Saccharomyces cerevisiae S288C: one gene and its partners. The protein of the gene in region 1 interacts with the protein of each later gene in a biochemical or structural test. Each region holds a gene or a part of one and is shown in the gene's direction. Other genes may lie near its edges. The genes, in order: YKU80, SIR4, YKU70 and NEJ1.

The links.
Region 2: the proteins of YKU80 (region 1) and SIR4 form a complex in vitro, tested with the Saccharomyces cerevisiae proteins (2 studies listed by BioGRID, with this or other methods).
Region 3: the proteins of YKU80 (region 1) and YKU70 are reported together in a solved structure, tested with the Saccharomyces cerevisiae proteins (4 studies listed by BioGRID, with this or other methods).
Region 4: the proteins of YKU80 (region 1) and NEJ1 form a complex in vitro, tested with the Saccharomyces cerevisiae proteins (one study listed by BioGRID).

Annotation. Positions count from the first base shown.
Region 1 is NC_001145.3:477,744-482,159, reverse strand, and holds YKU80 (ATP-dependent DNA helicase YKU80), read left to right. Parts: upstream 1-1,969; coding exon 1,970-3,859; downstream 3,860-4,416. Other genes in the region: YMR106W-A (uncharacterized protein), read right to left, coding at 973-1,236; YMR105W-A (uncharacterized protein), read right to left, coding at 3,902-4,096. UniProt on the Saccharomyces cerevisiae protein: Single-stranded DNA-dependent ATP-dependent helicase. Involved in non-homologous end joining (NHEJ) DNA double strand break repair. DNA-binding is sequence-independent but has a high affinity to nicks in double-stranded DNA and to the ends of duplex DNA.
Region 2 is NC_001136.10:915,915-922,162, forward strand, and holds SIR4 (chromatin-silencing protein SIR4), read left to right. Parts: upstream 1-1,656; coding exon 1,657-5,733; downstream 5,734-6,248. Other genes in the region: HTA1 (histone H2A), read left to right, coding at 1-14; adenylate kinase ADK1, read left to right, coding at 572-1,240; PCF11 (Pcf11p), read right to left, coding at 6,012-6,248. UniProt on the Saccharomyces cerevisiae protein: The proteins SIR1 through SIR4 are required for transcriptional repression of the silent mating type loci, HML and HMR. The proteins SIR2 through SIR4 repress mulitple loci by modulating chromatin structure.
Region 3 is NC_001145.3:836,470-840,508, forward strand, and holds YKU70 (ATP-dependent DNA helicase YKU70), read left to right. Parts: upstream 1-1,717; coding exon 1,718-3,526; downstream 3,527-4,039. Other genes in the region: RIT1 (tRNA A64-2'-O-ribosylphosphate transferase), read right to left, coding at 1-398; NGL2 (RNA exonuclease), read right to left, coding at 3,675-4,039. UniProt on the Saccharomyces cerevisiae protein: Single-stranded DNA-dependent ATP-dependent helicase. Involved in non-homologous end joining (NHEJ) DNA double strand break repair. DNA-binding is sequence-independent but has a high affinity to nicks in double-stranded DNA and to the ends of duplex DNA.
Region 4 is NC_001144.5:673,922-677,461, reverse strand, and holds NEJ1 (Nej1p), read left to right. Parts: upstream 1-2,006; coding exon 2,007-3,035; downstream 3,036-3,540. Other genes in the region: PDR8 (Pdr8p), read left to right, coding at 1-1,843; YLR264C-A (uncharacterized protein), read left to right, coding at 3,518-3,540. UniProt on the Saccharomyces cerevisiae protein: Involved in non-homologous end joining (NHEJ). Facilitates the transport of LIF1 into the nucleus, where it can interact with DNA ligase DNL4 to repair double-strand breaks (DSB). Mediates mating-type regulation of NHEJ.

The DNA of each region.
Region 1 (4,416 bases):
AATATGAAACTAATACTGAAAAGGGAAGCATTGGTGATTTTTTTTTCTTGTTCGTACTTCCTTCTGAGCAGAAAGTAAAAAGCCCAGAATGCGACAAAGACATACTCCGGCTGACAATAACGCAAGTGCTGTCACATAAGACTCCTTATATATGACAGTTTGCTGTATTTGTACAGTTGGACCGTCTTCATTACAACAATATTTATTGAACAGTAGCTTGTAATAGGCCGGCATTTTTTTGGTTAATAACAATGCCAGATAACCGCGAAGATTTATAATGGTTTATCGGTTGCATTTTCCATGAGTATAGAAACTATTATAGCGACCTCATTCTCCGGTCATTTAAATTTCCAAGGATCTTAGAGTCCACAAAGGACACAAATAATTTTACATAATAACGATATTACCTCTTTTTCCATTTTATGCGTTGTCGTTCACTATCCTGTTACATTATCAATCTTCGCATTTTAGCTTTTACCACATCCGATAGCCGTTTCTCAATATTATGCCATCTTCCTACACCATATAAGATAATATACCAGTAATATTGATACCAGTGAATGGATGATAGTTGATTGTTATTCCAACAAATAAAATCACAATCATTATCACCATTGCAATGAAACTCCATTTATCATCTATTTAGTAGTATTCATGTTTCTAGTATATAATCATATGCGGTGTAAGAAAATGACATAAAGTTTGAGAAACAGTCATCAAATCTAATGAAAGCTGAAATGCGAAGATTGATAACGTAATAGGATAATAAACGACAACGTATAAAACGAAAGAAGATAAAGTAATTTTTATTATATAGATTTATCGACTCCCTTTTGTGGATTCCAAGATCCTCGAGGAGAACTTCTAGTATATACTGTATACCTACATTATAGCTTTTGTTGACAATGGAGTCCCAACAATTATTACAATATTCACTTATTTCTCACATCATTATGAAGTGACTCCCCTCGGTTAAACGTTAGCGTGTTCTTCATTGCCTGTGGATGAGGATGAGCGCCGGTGCAAACTTTCAAGTTTTTCGAGAGCGTCTTCAAACTTAGCTACCACATTGTTGTCTACATCAACAAAAGTATGGTTCCATACTAAACTACCATCTTCTTTATTGCCGCTTAATTGTAACACGTCTACATTACCAGAATGATGAACTCCGCCTGTCAGATAGTCGTGCTTTGGTGCGGTCTTGATAAAATTGTTGATTGCTTCCATCGATATCATGATTCAGCCTAGGATTTGTGGGTTGCTTTGATTGATTGGAAATGATCGACTATGAGACCTTGAACCAGTTTAATTTTAAAATAAATATTTTTGTTGAACTAGTTCAGCAACCGAAATCCAGAAAAAAAGTTCTAGAAGAATAGTTTTATTAACTTTGAGAAAGTAAAAGCTGAGATAAAAAACCAGCTCAACATATAAGAATACAAGCTGACGGTAAATAACAATAAGTAGCCTTGTTGGCGCAATCGGTAGCGCGTATGACTCTTAATCATAAGGTTAGGGGTTCGAGCCCCCTACAGGGCTTCTTTTTTTGAAGATTCAAGTAAATATGCTGCATACATAATTCTCATTCAAAATATATACACTTAAGACATCTGGCCTTTTCTAGTTAATCTATATATTTAGTTCTTATAATAGATGAATGTACCGTCAACCAAAGATTAGCAGTTGGAGGGCGTTAAAAACAATTTACCATTGCCAGGATTCGACAACACTATTGTAACGTATTTCTGTTTCTGGTCTTGGAGTAATGTTTGTAGTCTATTAGCGGAAGTACCTTTTTACAGTGTCGACACAATTTGACTATTTTTTCAACTAGATTACCGCATGTCCGTCAGGGCATTTGTTGTCATGCAAAAAAATGAATAAAAAAAAAGGGCATCATCAAGAGAAGAAAACCTAATTAACGAGAGTGCAGGACATATGCACAAATAATATATCTCACACCATAATAATGTCAAGTGAGTCAACAACTTTCATCGTGGATGTTTCACCATCAATGATGAAAAATAATAATGTTTCCAAATCTATGGCATATCTAGAGTACACTCTATTAAACAAATCTAAAAAAAGTAGAAAAACAGATTGGATAAGCTGTTATCTCGCTAATTGTCCCGTATCTGAGAATTCCCAGGAAATACCAAATGTGTTCCAAATACAATCCTTTTTGGCTCCTGTTACCACGACGGCCACCATTGGGTTTATAAAACGCCTGAAACAATATTGTGATCAGCACAGTCATGATAGTTCGAATGAAGGCTTACAATCAATGATTCAATGTCTGTTGGTCGTCTCATTAGATATTAAACAACAATTTCAAGCAAGAAAAATTCTAAAACAAATTGTTGTATTTACAGACAATTTAGATGATCTGGATATTACTGATGAAGAAATAGACCTGCTAACGGAAGAATTAAGCACAAGAATCATTTTGATTGATTGCGGTAAAGACACTCAAGAGGAGAGGAAAAAATCGAACTGGTTAAAGTTGGTCGAAGCGATACCGAATTCAAGAATCTACAATATGAATGAACTTCTTGTTGAAATCACTTCCCCAGCAACATCTGTCGTTAAGCCAGTAAGAGTATTCTCAGGCGAGCTTAGGTTAGGGGCAGATATATTATCAACACAAACATCGAATCCTAGCGGCAGCATGCAAGATGAAAATTGCTTATGTATCAAGGTAGAGGCTTTTCCTGCTACGAAAGCAGTTTCAGGCTTAAATAGGAAAACCGCTGTTGAGGTGGAAGACTCCCAGAAGAAAGAAAGGTATGTGGGGGTCAAATCCATAATCGAATATGAAATTCACAACGAAGGAAATAAGAAAAATGTCAGTGAAGATGACCAGTCTGGATCGTCATACATTCCCGTGACCATCTCCAAAGACTCTGTAACGAAGGCATACCGTTATGGTGCAGACTACGTAGTGCTACCGTCCGTTCTAGTCGATCAAACTGTATATGAATCTTTTCCAGGCTTGGATTTAAGAGGATTTTTGAATAGAGAAGCTCTTCCAAGGTACTTTTTGACGTCGGAATCCTCCTTCATTACCGCCGACACAAGACTTGGCTGTCAATCTGACTTAATGGCTTTCAGTGCTCTAGTGGATGTTATGCTAGAAAATAGAAAAATTGCTGTTGCAAGATATGTGAGCAAGAAAGACAGTGAAGTGAATATGTGTGCATTGTGTCCCGTTCTAATTGAGCACAGTAACATTAATTCCGAGAAGAAGTTTGTTAAGAGCCTTACCTTGTGTAGATTACCATTCGCGGAAGACGAGAGGGTAACTGATTTTCCAAAACTTCTGGATCGAACAACTACATCCGGGGTACCGCTGAAAAAGGAAACAGACGGGCATCAAATCGATGAGCTTATGGAACAATTTGTAGATTCAATGGATACAGATGAGCTACCAGAGATTCCGTTAGGCAACTACTATCAACCCATAGGCGAAGTAACAACAGACACCACTCTCCCACTTCCCTCTTTAAATAAAGACCAAGAGGAAAACAAAAAGGATCCTCTTAGAATACCCACGGTTTTTGTCTACAGGCAACAACAGGTGCTACTGGAATGGATTCACCAACTGATGATCAATGATTCCAGGGAATTTGAAATCCCAGAGCTTCCTGACTCATTGAAAAACAAAATAAGTCCTTACACGCACAAGAAATTTGATAGCACAAAATTGGTTGAAGTGCTCGGCATCAAGAAAGTAGACAAATTAAAACTCGACTCCGAACTAAAAACTGAGCTTGAGAGGGAAAAGATCCCGGACCTAGAAACGCTATTGAAGCGCGGTGAACAACACAGTAGGGGAAGTCCAAACAATAGCAATAATTAAAAAAGGTCTAACATCCTTTGAGTTATGTTTTCGTCACCACAGTTAAAGAGAAAAAAAAATAAATAGCGGGTAAATAATTGTCATACTACTGATTTGCATTGTTACCTTGTAACTTTGAACACTAGCCATGCAGGTTGCTTTTCCTCCTTTACACCTTCCCCCCTGTCGCTGTTCAAAAGTAAATGCAACAACAATAAAACGTGGGTAGAGGACGTTCCCTGTATGTACTAAAATCATACTATCATCCGTTGAGGTCGAGCGGTTCTCTAATCTCAACACACGCTGCTGCCCCTGAGCTTGCGAGCTAAGGACAACAGGGCCAACTTGTTCTTTCTAGGGGGGAGAGGCCCAACTTAGGCTCGGTGAAGAGAAGCGCGGAGCTCACGAAAAGGGGTGGTGTCGCGCACTACTTTTTTCGTGGGGAACTTACGTGAAAGGGGACGTTATACTTTTGTTATGTGCAGTTCCAGGAACAAACAGGGGTTGAAAAGTGTAAAAGAAATAGTTGATTCTTTCAGAATCTGGATGACTGCCGCCCGAACAATGTGGGAAATATA
Region 2 (6,248 bases), on another chromosome or scaffold:
CTCAAGAATTATAAGATCGGTTCTGGTATTTTAAAGAAGGCGGAAGGAACTAAACTGCTTCTCCATTGTAACTATATTAAGTGTCTATTAGACCTTTCTGTTTTTCCTTTTTATTTTTCTATATATAATTTATTGGGTATATAATTAACGGTAACATATGTCATGCATGATATAAATTTTTTGTTGTGTCTTCCTGTTTTCTCTGTTGCTCTGTTTAGGTTCATTGGGCACTGTTGCTTACTTGAACATGATTGAGTAGCAAACACATTCTGTGCTTTGTTCACTTTGATAGTGTGACGAAATTTTCACAACCAAAGGAAAAAAGCTCACGATTGCGCGATCCTGTCACGGAGAACTGTCCGCAGCAGCCCGCGGCTTCTGTCCTTATTCGCCCATTTTTTTTTGATTTTCGACTTTTTCACTCTGGCTAGTTTTATTACGCATATTTGTATATATATATACGCATAAATTTCTGAAATGGATTACCTGGTTTATCAGAAACGAGAGCTTTAATAAAGAAACATTAACGTTTCTCTGGTAAAGTCACCACACAGCATCAAATATAACAGTAATGTCTAGCTCAGAATCCATTAGAATGGTCCTAATTGGCCCACCTGGTGCCGGTAAAGGTACTCAAGCTCCAAATTTGCAAGAGCGTTTCCATGCCGCTCACTTGGCCACTGGTGACATGTTGAGATCTCAAATCGCAAAGGGCACTCAATTAGGTTTGGAAGCAAAGAAAATTATGGACCAAGGTGGTTTAGTCTCTGATGACATTATGGTTAACATGATCAAGGATGAATTGACCAACAATCCAGCTTGTAAGAATGGGTTCATCTTGGACGGTTTCCCAAGAACCATTCCTCAGGCTGAAAAATTGGACCAAATGTTGAAAGAACAAGGAACTCCTTTGGAAAAAGCCATCGAATTGAAGGTTGATGATGAATTGTTGGTTGCCAGAATTACCGGTAGATTAATTCACCCAGCCTCTGGCAGATCCTACCACAAGATCTTTAACCCACCAAAGGAAGACATGAAGGATGACGTCACCGGTGAAGCTTTAGTTCAAAGATCTGATGACAATGCAGACGCCTTGAAGAAGAGATTAGCTGCTTACCATGCTCAAACCGAACCAATTGTTGACTTTTACAAAAAGACCGGTATCTGGGCTGGTGTTGATGCTTCCCAACCTCCTGCTACTGTTTGGGCTGACATCTTGAACAAGCTAGGTAAGGATTAATGACCTTGCGCAATGTCTTCTAAATATCTTTTCTTTTTTTTAAATTAATGAAAATATAATAAATTTTTGTATGTGAGTACATATATCCGCAGTATACTATAAATGAAATAATAACATAAGTGTTTGTAACTGGCTATAACGTCCTTAAACATGTGCACTGCCATTAAGTACTTAGTCAATATTTTTATCGTTGAGAACGAACGCAAATCATATTACTAAATAGATGAACAAAAGCGCATCACATAAACAAAAACGGTATAACAGTAATAGTGAAGCTTTTTATAAACCTATAACGAAATAAGCGCTTTTCAGGTTTTATAATTCAGTCAGAGTTCTAACTGGACATCGTTTTGCAGGGGATAAAAAAAAAAAGGAAGCTTCAACCCACAATACCAAAAAAGCGAAGAAAACAGCCAATGCCAAATGACAATAAGACACCCAATAGGTCCAGCACTCCCAAGTTTACTAAAAAACCAGTAACCCCGAATGATAAAATTCCTGAAAGAGAAGAAAAATCCAATGAAGTGAAGACACCTAAAATTCCATTATTCACGTTTGCCAAAAGCAAAAACTATTCAAGGCCGTCAACCGCAATTCATACCTCACCTCATCAACCAAGTGATGTAAAACCGACTTCCCATAAACAGTTGCAACAGCCAAAATCCTCACCACTGAAAAAAAATAACTATAATTCTTTTCCTCACTCAAATCTGGAAAAAATAAGCAACAGCAAACTACTCTCCCTTCTTCGGTCCAAAACGTCAGCAGGAAGAATTGAATCAAACAATCCTTCACATGATGCTAGCAGGTCTCTAGCAAGTTTTGAACAAACAGCATTTTCCCGGCATGCGCAGCAACAAACTTCTACCTTCAATTCAAAGCCTGTACGTACCATAGTACCGATATCAACATCACAAACCAATAACTCATTTTTATCAGGAGTAAAAAGCTTACTAAGTGAAGAGAAAATAAGGGATTACTCTAAAGAGATTCTAGGCATAAACTTGGCAAACGAACAGCCTGTTTTAGAGAAGCCACTTAAAAAAGGATCAGCAGACATCGGCGCCTCTGTGATTTCTTTGACCAAGGACAAATCTATCAGGAAAGATACCGTAGAAGAAAAAAAAGAAGAAAAGTTGAATATAGGTAAAAACTTTGCCCATTCTGATTCACTATCAGTTCCGAAGGTTAGTGCCGGTGACAGTGGTATATCACCGGAGGAGAGCAAGGCAAGAAGTCCTGGAATTGCAAAACCGAATGCCATACAAACAGAAGTGTATGGAATAAATGAGGAATCTACTAACGAGCGTTTAGAAATAAATCAAGAAAAACCAGTAAAATTAGATGAGAATAGTGCAAATAGTACGGTCGCATCGGCCTTAGATACCAATGGGACGTCAGCCACGACAGAAACTCTAACATCAAAGAAGATCGTTCCATCTCCAAAAAAAGTCGCCATTGATCAAGATAAAATAACACTGCACGATGAGAAAACACTTGCACCTTCGAAGCATCAGCCTATAACATCTGAACAAAAAATGAAGGAAGACGCCGACCTCAAGAGGATGGAAATCTTAAAGTCACCTCATTTGTCGAAAAGTCCAGCTGACAGACCTCAAGGGCGTAGAAACAGCCGAAATTTTTCCACTAGAGATGAAGAAACTACAAAACTTGCTTTTCTTGTTGAATATGAAGGCCAAGAAAACAACTATAACTCTACTTCTCGAAGCACAGAAAAGAAAAATGATATGAACACTTCTGCAAAGAATAAAAATGGTGAAAACAAGAAAATTGGTAAGAGGCCGCCTGAAATCATGAGCACTGAAGCTCACGTAAACAAAGTAACCGAAGAAACCACAAAGCAGATACAGAGTGTACGAATAGATGGTCGAAAAGTGCTTCAAAAAGTACAAGGAGAATCCCACATTGATTCGAGAAACAATACCCTGAATGTTACACCATCAAAGAGGCCCCAGCTAGGAGAAATACCGAATCCTATGAAAAAGCATAAGCCTAATGAAGGGCGAACTCCAAATATCTCAAACGGTACAATAAACATCCAAAAGAAATTAGAGCCTAAGGAAATTGTGCGAGATATTTTGCATACGAAAGAATCATCAAATGAGGCTAAGAAAACTATTCAAAACCCTTTAAATAAATCACAAAACACTGCTCTTCCTTCCACACATAAAGTTACACAAAAAAAAGATATAAAAATTGGAACTAATGACCTTTTTCAGGTTGAATCTGCTCCAAAAATATCCTCAGAGATTGACCGGGAGAATGTTAAATCAAAGGATGAACCGGTTTCCAAGGCTGTTGAAAGCAAATCTTTATTAAATTTGTTTTCAAACGTACTCAAGGCTCCTTTCATTAAAAGTGAAAGCAAACCTTTTTCTAGTGATGCTCTGTCAAAAGAAAAAGCCAATTTTTTGGAAACTATCGCTTCCACTGAAAAGCCAGAAAATAAGACTGATAAGGTGTCTCTATCTCAGCCAGTTAGTGCAAGTAAGCATGAGTATAGCGATAATTTTCCAGTTTCTCTATCTCAACCTTCAAAGAAATCTTTCGCAAATCATACAGAGGATGAGCAAATTGAAAAAAAGAAGATCTGCCGTGGGAGAATGAATACGATAATAACTCACCCGGGAAAAATGGAGCTGGTATACGTGTCCGACTCAGACGATTCTTCTTCAGATAATGATAGCCTAACTGACTTGGAAAGTTTAAGCTCTGGTGAATCAAATGAAATCAAAGTAACTAATGATTTAGATACAAGTGCTGAAAAGGACCAAATTCAGGCAGGCAAATGGTTTGATCCTGTATTGGATTGGCGAAAATCTGATCGTGAATTGACGAAAAACATTCTTTGGAGGATAGCTGATAAAACGACATACGATAAAGAAACAATAACTGACCTTATTGAACAAGGGATCCCAAAACATAGTTATTTAAGTGGCAATCCATTAACTAGTGTGACTAACGACATTTGCTCTGTTGAAAACTATGAAACATCAAGTGCTTTCTTTTACCAACAAGTGCACAAGAAGGACAGATTACAATATTTGCCATTATATGCAGTTTCTACATTTGAAAACACAAATAACACTGAAAAAAATGATGTGACCAATAAAAATATCAATATAGGGAAACATAGCCAAGAACAAAATTCTTCTTCCGCTAAACCATCCCAAATTCCAACCGTGTCTTCTCCATTAGGATTCGAAGAAACAAAGCTAAGTACCACGCCTACTAAAAGCAATAGAAGAGTGTCGCATAGTGATACTAATTCTAGCAAACCCAAAAACACGAAGGAGAACCTTTCAAAAAGCTCTTGGAGGCAAGAATGGCTTGCAAATTTGAAACTTATTTCCGTTTCGTTGGTTGATGAGTTCCCTTCGGAGCTTTCCGACAGTGATAGACAAATAATTAACGAAAAAATGCAGTTACTTAAAGATATATTTGCTAACAACCTTAAATCAGCAATTTCCAATAATTTTAGAGAGAGTGACATCATTATACTGAAAGGTGAAATAGAAGATTACCCAATGAGTTCTGAAATTAAGATTTACTACAACGAATTACAGAACAAGCCTGATGCAAAAAAAGCCAGATTTTGGTCATTTATGAAGACTCAGAGATTTGTTTCCAACATGGGATTTGATATTCAGAAGTCCTGTGAACCTGTTTCTATATCCACGTCGGTCAAACCACATGTGGTCGAGCCCGAGCATATGGCAGATGCCAAAATTATGCCTAAGGATATACTGCAAATTACAAAAAAACCGTTAATGGTTAAAAATGTGAAGCCTTCTTCTCCGCCAGATGTGAAGTCTTTGGTGCAGCTGAGCACAATGGAAACGAAAACCCTACCAGAAAAGAAGCAATTCGACAGTATTTTTAATTCTAACAAAGCAAAAATAATCCCTGGAAATGGGAAGCACGCATCAGAAAACATCTCACTCTCTTTCTCAAGACCTGCGTCCTACGGCTATTTTTCTGTTGGAAAAAGGGTTCCAATCGTTGAAGATCGTCGAGTGAAACAACTCGACGATATAACAGACAGTAATACAACAGAAATTTTAACTAGTGTTGACGTTTTAGGAACACATTCACAAACTGGTACTCAACAATCAAATATGTACACATCAACCCAAAAAACAGAACTTGAAATTGATAATAAGGATAGTGTCACCGAATGTTCGAAGGACATGAAAGAAGATGGTCTTTCCTTTGTGGATATCGTTTTGTCGAAAGCAGCATCGGCGCTGGATGAAAAGGAAAAACAATTGGCTGTTGCAAATGAAATTATTCGGTCTTTGTCAGATGAAGTTATGAGGAATGAAATTAGAATAACTTCACTTCAAGGTGATTTAACTTTTACAAAGAAATGTCTTGAAAATGCGAGAAGTCAAATATCTGAAAAAGATGCTAAAATTAACAAATTGATGGAAAAAGATTTTCAAGTGAATAAGGAGATAAAACCGTATTGACTTTTTATCATTCTACAAAAGACCAGTAACGAAGTGTACCCTGTTTTTCTTTGTCGTTTTCTTCTATAATGAACAATTTACTTTACGGTCTTTAATCGATTTTAATGATTAGTTGGGCTTTTGGCTACATATGTAAAATTACATATAATATAATGGACACATAAGCAAAAAAAAAAAAAAAAAAAATAAACAAATGAGCAACCCATCAAATACCAAGAACAAAGAATTTAATATAATATATAGTTATTAAATTTAAATGTATATATGCAGTTCTGCTCTTATTTTGTGACCAATTTCTTTAAGTCATCCAAACCGACCTTGCCACTATTAGATTTGCTTGAATTTTGCGACGTTTCATGATAACATGTCGAGTGGAAATATTTGCCATTCACTTCAATAGTATTTTTCCAAACCCATTCACCAGATTCTTCATCATAAACGCCAGTAACGGTTTCCTTACAAATTGGACATTTGAAGGCCATATCTTGTGAAGTTTCTGGTACAACAACATATTT
Region 3 (4,039 bases), 360 kb from region 1:
TTTTTACCTCTTCTAGTACTATCGACAATTATAATACCTTTATTATCTCGAATGGTCTCTAACAAATGAAAGTTCAATCTTCGGGTGCTAAAGTCCCATTGGTTGACATGCCCGTCTGTGCTCTTAAAGTAACTGGTCTGTTTGAAACTTGATGGATTACAGTACCATAGCCCACATCTTTCATTGGGTATCAGTGGATAATGGGGAAATATAGGGATAACTCGATCTTGCAAAAATTTATTGTCTAAAAGAATACTCTGAAGTCGATTCCTTACGGACTTGTTTTCCTTTCTGATGTCTTTATTTATCTGAGATAGCGAAAGATAAATATTTTCATCCATCACGGATATACTAAACTGTACTCTGGATCTATATCTCTTTGATAGCCTCGATACCATCCATCAAGAGATCAAAATTTTCAAGCATGCTTTTTTTTTCCTGCATATGAACAATGAATAATGGGCCCAGTCACAGTTAAGCAGTAATAAGAACAAAGCACATAAACATACAACGCATATATGAAGAGCAATAGAGTGGTGGGATGATTTTAGAAGTTCATTTTTGATGAAGATGATAAGATTATGTAATAGCGGCTATGCTAAGCTCCCTTCGGGCATGGAAATCAACAAAAAAGTTGTAACCGTACATAATATGACGGGAAATGCAACAAGCTTTCCAAGAAGTAATGGAAGGCATAGCTAAAGGACTATCTGGCTCGGCCATAAGTTTGAAATTTGTGTATACAGGTATAGGAAACCCTTATACCTACCTAAATCGTCGAAGCTACTGATATATTGCGTATAGTCGATATGCCCAATGTAATTCATATTTCATACTCTTCTCTTGTACAGATTAAGGGCACCTGTTTTATTCTTAGAATATACTACAACCTGCCTACTAATTAACAATGATACTATTAACGGTGCAAAACCGGATGCTCAAATTTAAAGTGATTACTCAGTTATAAACACGCCTGGTGTGAAATTAACGACCATTAATAAGAATAAATATTACTGGCATATTATAATATGCGGTGGAAAAACATAAAATAAGGATTGAGAAATAGTTATCAAGTATAATGGAAGCTGAAGTGCAAGGATTGATAATGTAATAGGATAATGAAACATATAAACGGAATGAGGAATAATCGTAATTTTATTATGTAGAAATATAGATTCCATTTTGAGATTTCTATCCTCGAGGAGAACTTCTAATATATTCTGTGTACATAATATTATATAGCCTTGATCAACAATGCAATCCCAACAATTATCAAATTATTCACCCAATATTCAGTATAATCCATATTTATAGAATATATAGGATAATTATCATCCCCTCAATCAAGTTGATATTCCGTTTTGACAACAGGTCACTTCTGCAAGGTTGCTTATATTAAAATTGTGAATAAGCATGATATTAGACGGACTCATAATTGAATGGTTATCAGTTAATTGACTCTCGGTAGCCAAGTTGGTTTAAGGCGCAAGACTGTAATTTACCACTACGAAATCTTGAGATCGGGCGTTCGACTCGCCCCCGGGAGATATTTTTTTACTTTTGATTACCTTAATTTTTGAAGATTCTCAATTTCATGTATTAGGGATTGCTTTAAGGTAGCTACCAAATGACATTCTCTGTATTACTGTTCTAGTTTTCAACAGTAAAGCTATGATTTGTTAAGTGACTCTAAGCCTGATTTTAAAACGGGAATATTATGCGCTCAGTCACTAATGCATTTGGCAATAGTGGAGAACTTAACGATCAAGTGGATGAAACAGGTTATAGGAAGTTTGATATCCATGAAGGAATTTTGTTTTGCATTGAACTATCAGAGACAATGTTTAAAGAGTCCTCTGATCTAGAGTATAAATCACCATTGTTGGAAATTCTGGAATCACTAGATGAGCTAATGTCACAATTGGTCATAACAAGACCTGGGACAGCTATTGGTTGCTATTTTTATTACTGTAACAGAGAGGATGCCAAGGAAGGTATCTATGAACTTTTTCCATTAAGGGATATAAATGCTACATTTATGAAGAAATTGAACGATCTTTTAGAAGATTTATCATCGGGGAGAATAAGCCTATACGACTATTTTATGTTTCAACAAACTGGGAGTGAAAAGCAAGTGCGCTTATCTGTATTATTCACATTCATGCTTGACACTTTTTTGGAAGAGATTCCGGGTCAAAAGCAATTAAGCAACAAGAGAGTGTTCTTATTCACTGACATTGATAAACCACAAGAGGCGCAAGATATCGATGAACGGGCAAGATTGAGAAGGCTTACAATTGATTTATTTGATAACAAAGTGAATTTTGCAACTTTTTTTATTGGCTATGCCGATAAACCATTTGACAACGAGTTTTATTCGGACATACTGCAGTTGGGTTCACATACAAATGAGAATACTGGTTTGGATTCTGAATTTGATGGTCCAAGTACAAAGCCTATAGATGCTAAATACATCAAGTCCAGAATCCTAAGGAAAAAGGAGGTAAAGAGGATAATGTTTCAATGTCCATTAATCTTGGATGAGAAAACAAATTTTATAGTCGGAGTCAAGGGTTACACTATGTATACCCATGAAAAAGCTGGAGTCAGGTATAAACTTGTTTATGAGCATGAAGATATCAGACAAGAAGCATATTCAAAAAGAAAATTTTTAAATCCTATAACAGGAGAAGACGTTACTGGTAAAACTGTCAAGGTTTATCCTTATGGTGACCTCGATATCAATCTATCAGATAGTCAAGATCAGATAGTAATGGAGGCTTATACTCAAAAAGATGCGTTTTTGAAGATTATTGGGTTCCGTTCATCGAGCAAATCGATACACTATTTCAATAACATAGACAAAAGTTCGTTTATCGTACCAGATGAAGCAAAATATGAAGGTTCGATAAGAACCTTGGCTTCTTTATTAAAAATTTTGAGAAAAAAAGATAAAATTGCAATATTATGGGGGAAGCTTAAATCAAATTCACATCCTTCACTATATACGTTATCACCCTCAAGCGTGAAGGACTACAACGAAGGATTTTATCTCTACAGGGTTCCATTCCTAGACGAAATTCGAAAATTTCCTAGTTTACTATCCTATGATGATGGCTCTGAACATAAACTAGATTATGATAACATGAAAAAAGTAACTCAAAGTATAATGGGATACTTTAACTTGAGGGATGGATATAACCCATCCGATTTCAAAAACCCACTATTACAAAAACATTACAAAGTTTTACATGATTACCTGTTGCAAATTGAAACCACTTTTGACGAAAATGAGACACCTAATACTAAAAAAGACAGAATGATGCGTGAGGACGATTCTTTAAGGAAACTATATTATATACGAAATAAAATTTTAGAATCTGAGAAGTCAGAAGATCCAATCATCCAAAGGCTAAATAAATATGTTAAAATCTGGAATATGTTCTACAAAAAATTTAACGATGATAACATTTCGATAAAAGAAGAAAAGAAGCCCTTTGATAAAAAGCCGAAATTCAATATATAAAGACGATTGAAATCCTTCATATCTATAACGTTACATACAATATTTGGTAGGGTAGGGTATTTGATGTAATATTTATTATTAAGAACTTTTGTCGTGCTAAACGTTGTACTGTACAACTATTAGCAAGATATTTATGCACGACAGTAATCTATAGTTGTAACTCTAAATCACACACCATAGACAAATGATCACTTGCATATTCTCCAACATGTGGTTGTCCATGCTTTGTCATTTCATTACCGGGCGGCATTCTCAAAAAACCTCTGCATTTAACTTTATTTTCTTTTTCAAAATCGCCAAGGGTTTCCACTTCCTGACAATTACTTTGTGGGTCCCATTTCTTTACATAAAATAGATAGTCTAATAAACCACGCCAAGTGTTTGCCCAATTTGAAATTTCAGGCTCACCTCTATCATTATCAAGACCTGCATTTTCTGGATGAACATTCTTATACCCAACAGAGTATAGTGAAATAGCCCTCATATCCAATGAGTTATGGAGTTGTGCCATTT
Region 4 (3,540 bases), on another chromosome or scaffold:
GAATTTGCAGACTCTACTGAAGGAAAACGATAACAATAATGCGAAACCGGTGTATTGCAGGAGTTCAGAAAATCCATTACGGTCACTGAGAACTTCGGTTTTAGGTGATAATGGCTCGAGGTATGTGTTTGGCCCCACTTCCTGGAAAACTTTATCTTTGTTTGAACAAAATAAGTTTCAAACTGAGTTTCAAAATTTATGGAAAGTCTTGAAACCACTTCCTGAATGCACTAAATCGCAATTAAATGAAAATGATGTTGTAGCAGATTTGCCTAGTTTTCCTCAAATGGAAAGCTGTATTAAATCTTTTTTTGCTGGACCGCTGTTCGGCATATTGCATATCTTCAACCAAGACGATATTCTGTCCCTCTTGGACAGACTTTTTATTAGAGATACCACGGACAAGAACCTAGTCATCCTCCTCGATTTGCAAGGTAATGCAAAAGATAAGTATAATCTTGGCATTGTACTTCAAATTCTTTGCTTGGGCTATTATAACCAAGATATCCCTTCTTCCGTGAGTCATTTCCTTCACACTTTAAGTGCAGCGTCCTTGTCATCATCGAGCTCAAATTTCGTGGAAAAACTACAATTTTTCTTATTGTCCTATATTAGTGTAATGATAAATTGCACGGACGGTGTATGGGATGCGACTCAAGGCGTTGACTTAATCAACGAGCTATGCCAGGGGTGCATAAGTTTGGGTTTAAATGATATTGATAAATGGTATTTGAACGAAAGTGAGGAAACCAAACAAAACTTGAGGTGTATTTGGTTTTGGGCTTTATTCCTTGATGTATCCACCTCATATGATATAGGTAATCCTCCGTCTATTTCAGATGATCTTTTGGACTTAAGTATATTTACTGCGCAGAATTTCCAATCACCGAGTATTGACTTTAGGAGAGTTAAGCTAATGCACGATTTTTTAGATGTTTCCCGATTCACTACTCGTGAAATTCACAAGAGAGAGATGAACGAAAAATTGACCACTTTTTCATTGAGATTGATTGAATTTATACAATCTAACTTTTCACCTATCGAACATTATACAAATTCAGTTTACTACTCTGATATTGATCCCTTTGATATATTGATTTTATCAAGATCTCTAAGTATAGTTGCTAGTATATACAATATTGAGATGATCATCGCTCAACAAAGCAGAATCATAGATAAGAACAGAATGGTTCAGTTCTTGTTGATATCCATATCAGTCTGTGTTAATACAATGGTATTTCATTTTAAAGAGCCTATCAACGACCAGGAGAACGTGTTAACTGAAGGGCTAAAACTGTCTATTATTCTAATCAATCCACTTTTAATACGAATAGTATCGCAAGTGTACAGTTTAGCATTTAATAGGTTAATCTTCAGGGAGAAGGCATTCCTTTTCCTTATTGACCTTGACACTGGGAAAAAAATACAATTCATTAAATATGAAGAAGAAAACTTTGATGAACTTTTGACAGGATTCGATGTTAGGACTGATAAATTTCTGTCATTTTCAGGAACAATAATAAGATTTTACGAAATTATTGATAGCATATTTGCTGTTAATGAAAGAAATAAGCGATTGTTAAAAGCAGTTTCCAATTTTTATCAGTTAACTTCAACTTTGGCGTTTGAACGCGTAAGTAGGGTTTTATTCGATAAAGCGTCCCAAGCAAGAATAGAGACTGAAAAAATTTGGCTGAAAAAGGGCATTAATATGGAGCACTTCAGTGATCTCATGATTGAAGATTTTATTAATGATGTTTGGAAAACGTTCAAAGAGATTTCCAAAGACCTTTGGTCCATTGACAAAAAGAAATTTTATAAACAATATCATTTCGATTTATAAATGTATTTATGATTGATGTATTTTTTTACATGGATTTTTTCGTCCCAAAAAGGGATGATAGTGTTGGCAGCGGGCAAACACAAAATAGTGTCATATAAGTGGAAACCCTATGGAGAATAACCATAACAACGGCCAGATAGGAGGTTAATCTTACACATGTGTGATGGATTCTGAGTTGAAAGGGCAGCAGCTAAGTGATGCAGAATGGTGTGTTAAAAAAATTAATGGTGAGGGAAATTGTCTCCTATTATTTCTACCGATGTCATCTCCAACCACAATTGTAATGATTGTTTTAGTTTCCTTGGAGCGCTTAGTTCCCTACGTTTTCAAACTTTCACAAACTCAATTATCACAGCAATGCCAGAGCCAAGGTTTTACGGATAGTATATCATTAAATCTAATTAAACTAAAACTAATGGACATTCTACAAGCTCCTCAAGAAATTAACCAAATTGGATTGGTAGATTCAAATTTGGTTTTTAGTTTCGATGTATCTGCGGATATTACAGTTTCCATAAATAGCGTACCTTCACATGTTACTAAGGATATGTTCTATATGATTTTGCAAAGTTTATGCATGCTTTTATTAAAATTGGTAAACCTTTCCACCCAATACCACTATGTACAACGGGATATTTTGAATGAAAAGCAAAAATGCTTAGATTTTCTTTTAATTTCTCTTCGTGATTTAGACGGTGGGAGTAAAGTTATCAGTCAATGGGCTCCTGAAAATTCTAAGAATTATGAATCTCTGCAGCAATGCACAGACGATGACATAATCAAAAAATTACTACATAAAGGAAAATTCCAGCATCAAGAATTTCTGGCGGACTCATTAAAAACATTATTATCTTTAAGAAACAAATTTCAAGATGTGTCGCGGTTTGAAGAATCTGGAGAACTTAACAAAAAAGAGCGCGTCAGATTTCCTGCGGTGAATCATTTTTATAATGATGATTTTGAATTGCAAGCAGACCCTACAAATGAGGCTCGACCAAATAGCCGCGGTAAAATTAAACCAAAGACAGATTTCAAGCCAAAATCTAGAGAAAGTAGTACCAGTTCGCAACTTCGCCTGGAGAATTTTTCTGAATCTGAGGCTACACCAGAAAAAACAAAATCAAGTTCTTCTTTGGTCGAAGAATACCCACAGAAAAAAAGAAAATTTGGAAAGGTGAGAATAAAAAACTAAGGCAAGTCAATTAAACGTCAAAAATTAAGGTTGGACCTTTCAAATAGTTCTATTCCTTTGTTGACGCATTGATAATGTTAATTTATTGAATGGTAACGTTATGCCATTGATAGGGAGCATATAAGTTTATATGTATTAGGACAGTTCTAATTGTTTATTATTAATCTAACGGTAGTTTCAAGCAGTATCTTACATCACTGCAGCTTCTGAGTGTCTAAATGATAAACTGCATAAAAAATAGCCGCGCAAGCTCGCCATCACTGTAAATGAAATTTAGACGCAAAACATAACCGCGGATGTAAACTTACTTAATAAGAGCGATTGGCAAAAGAGCCACAAAAAAAAATTGGATCAATATCTGGTGCATGGGTCTAAAAAAATTAAGCAAAACCACAACACCACGCGTTATGACAGCAGTTTTAGAGACTGTTTCTTTCTCTTCTATTGTATGAAGTAATCAGATTATTATATTGAGTAAGTACATGAATGTAATATTTAAATTGTA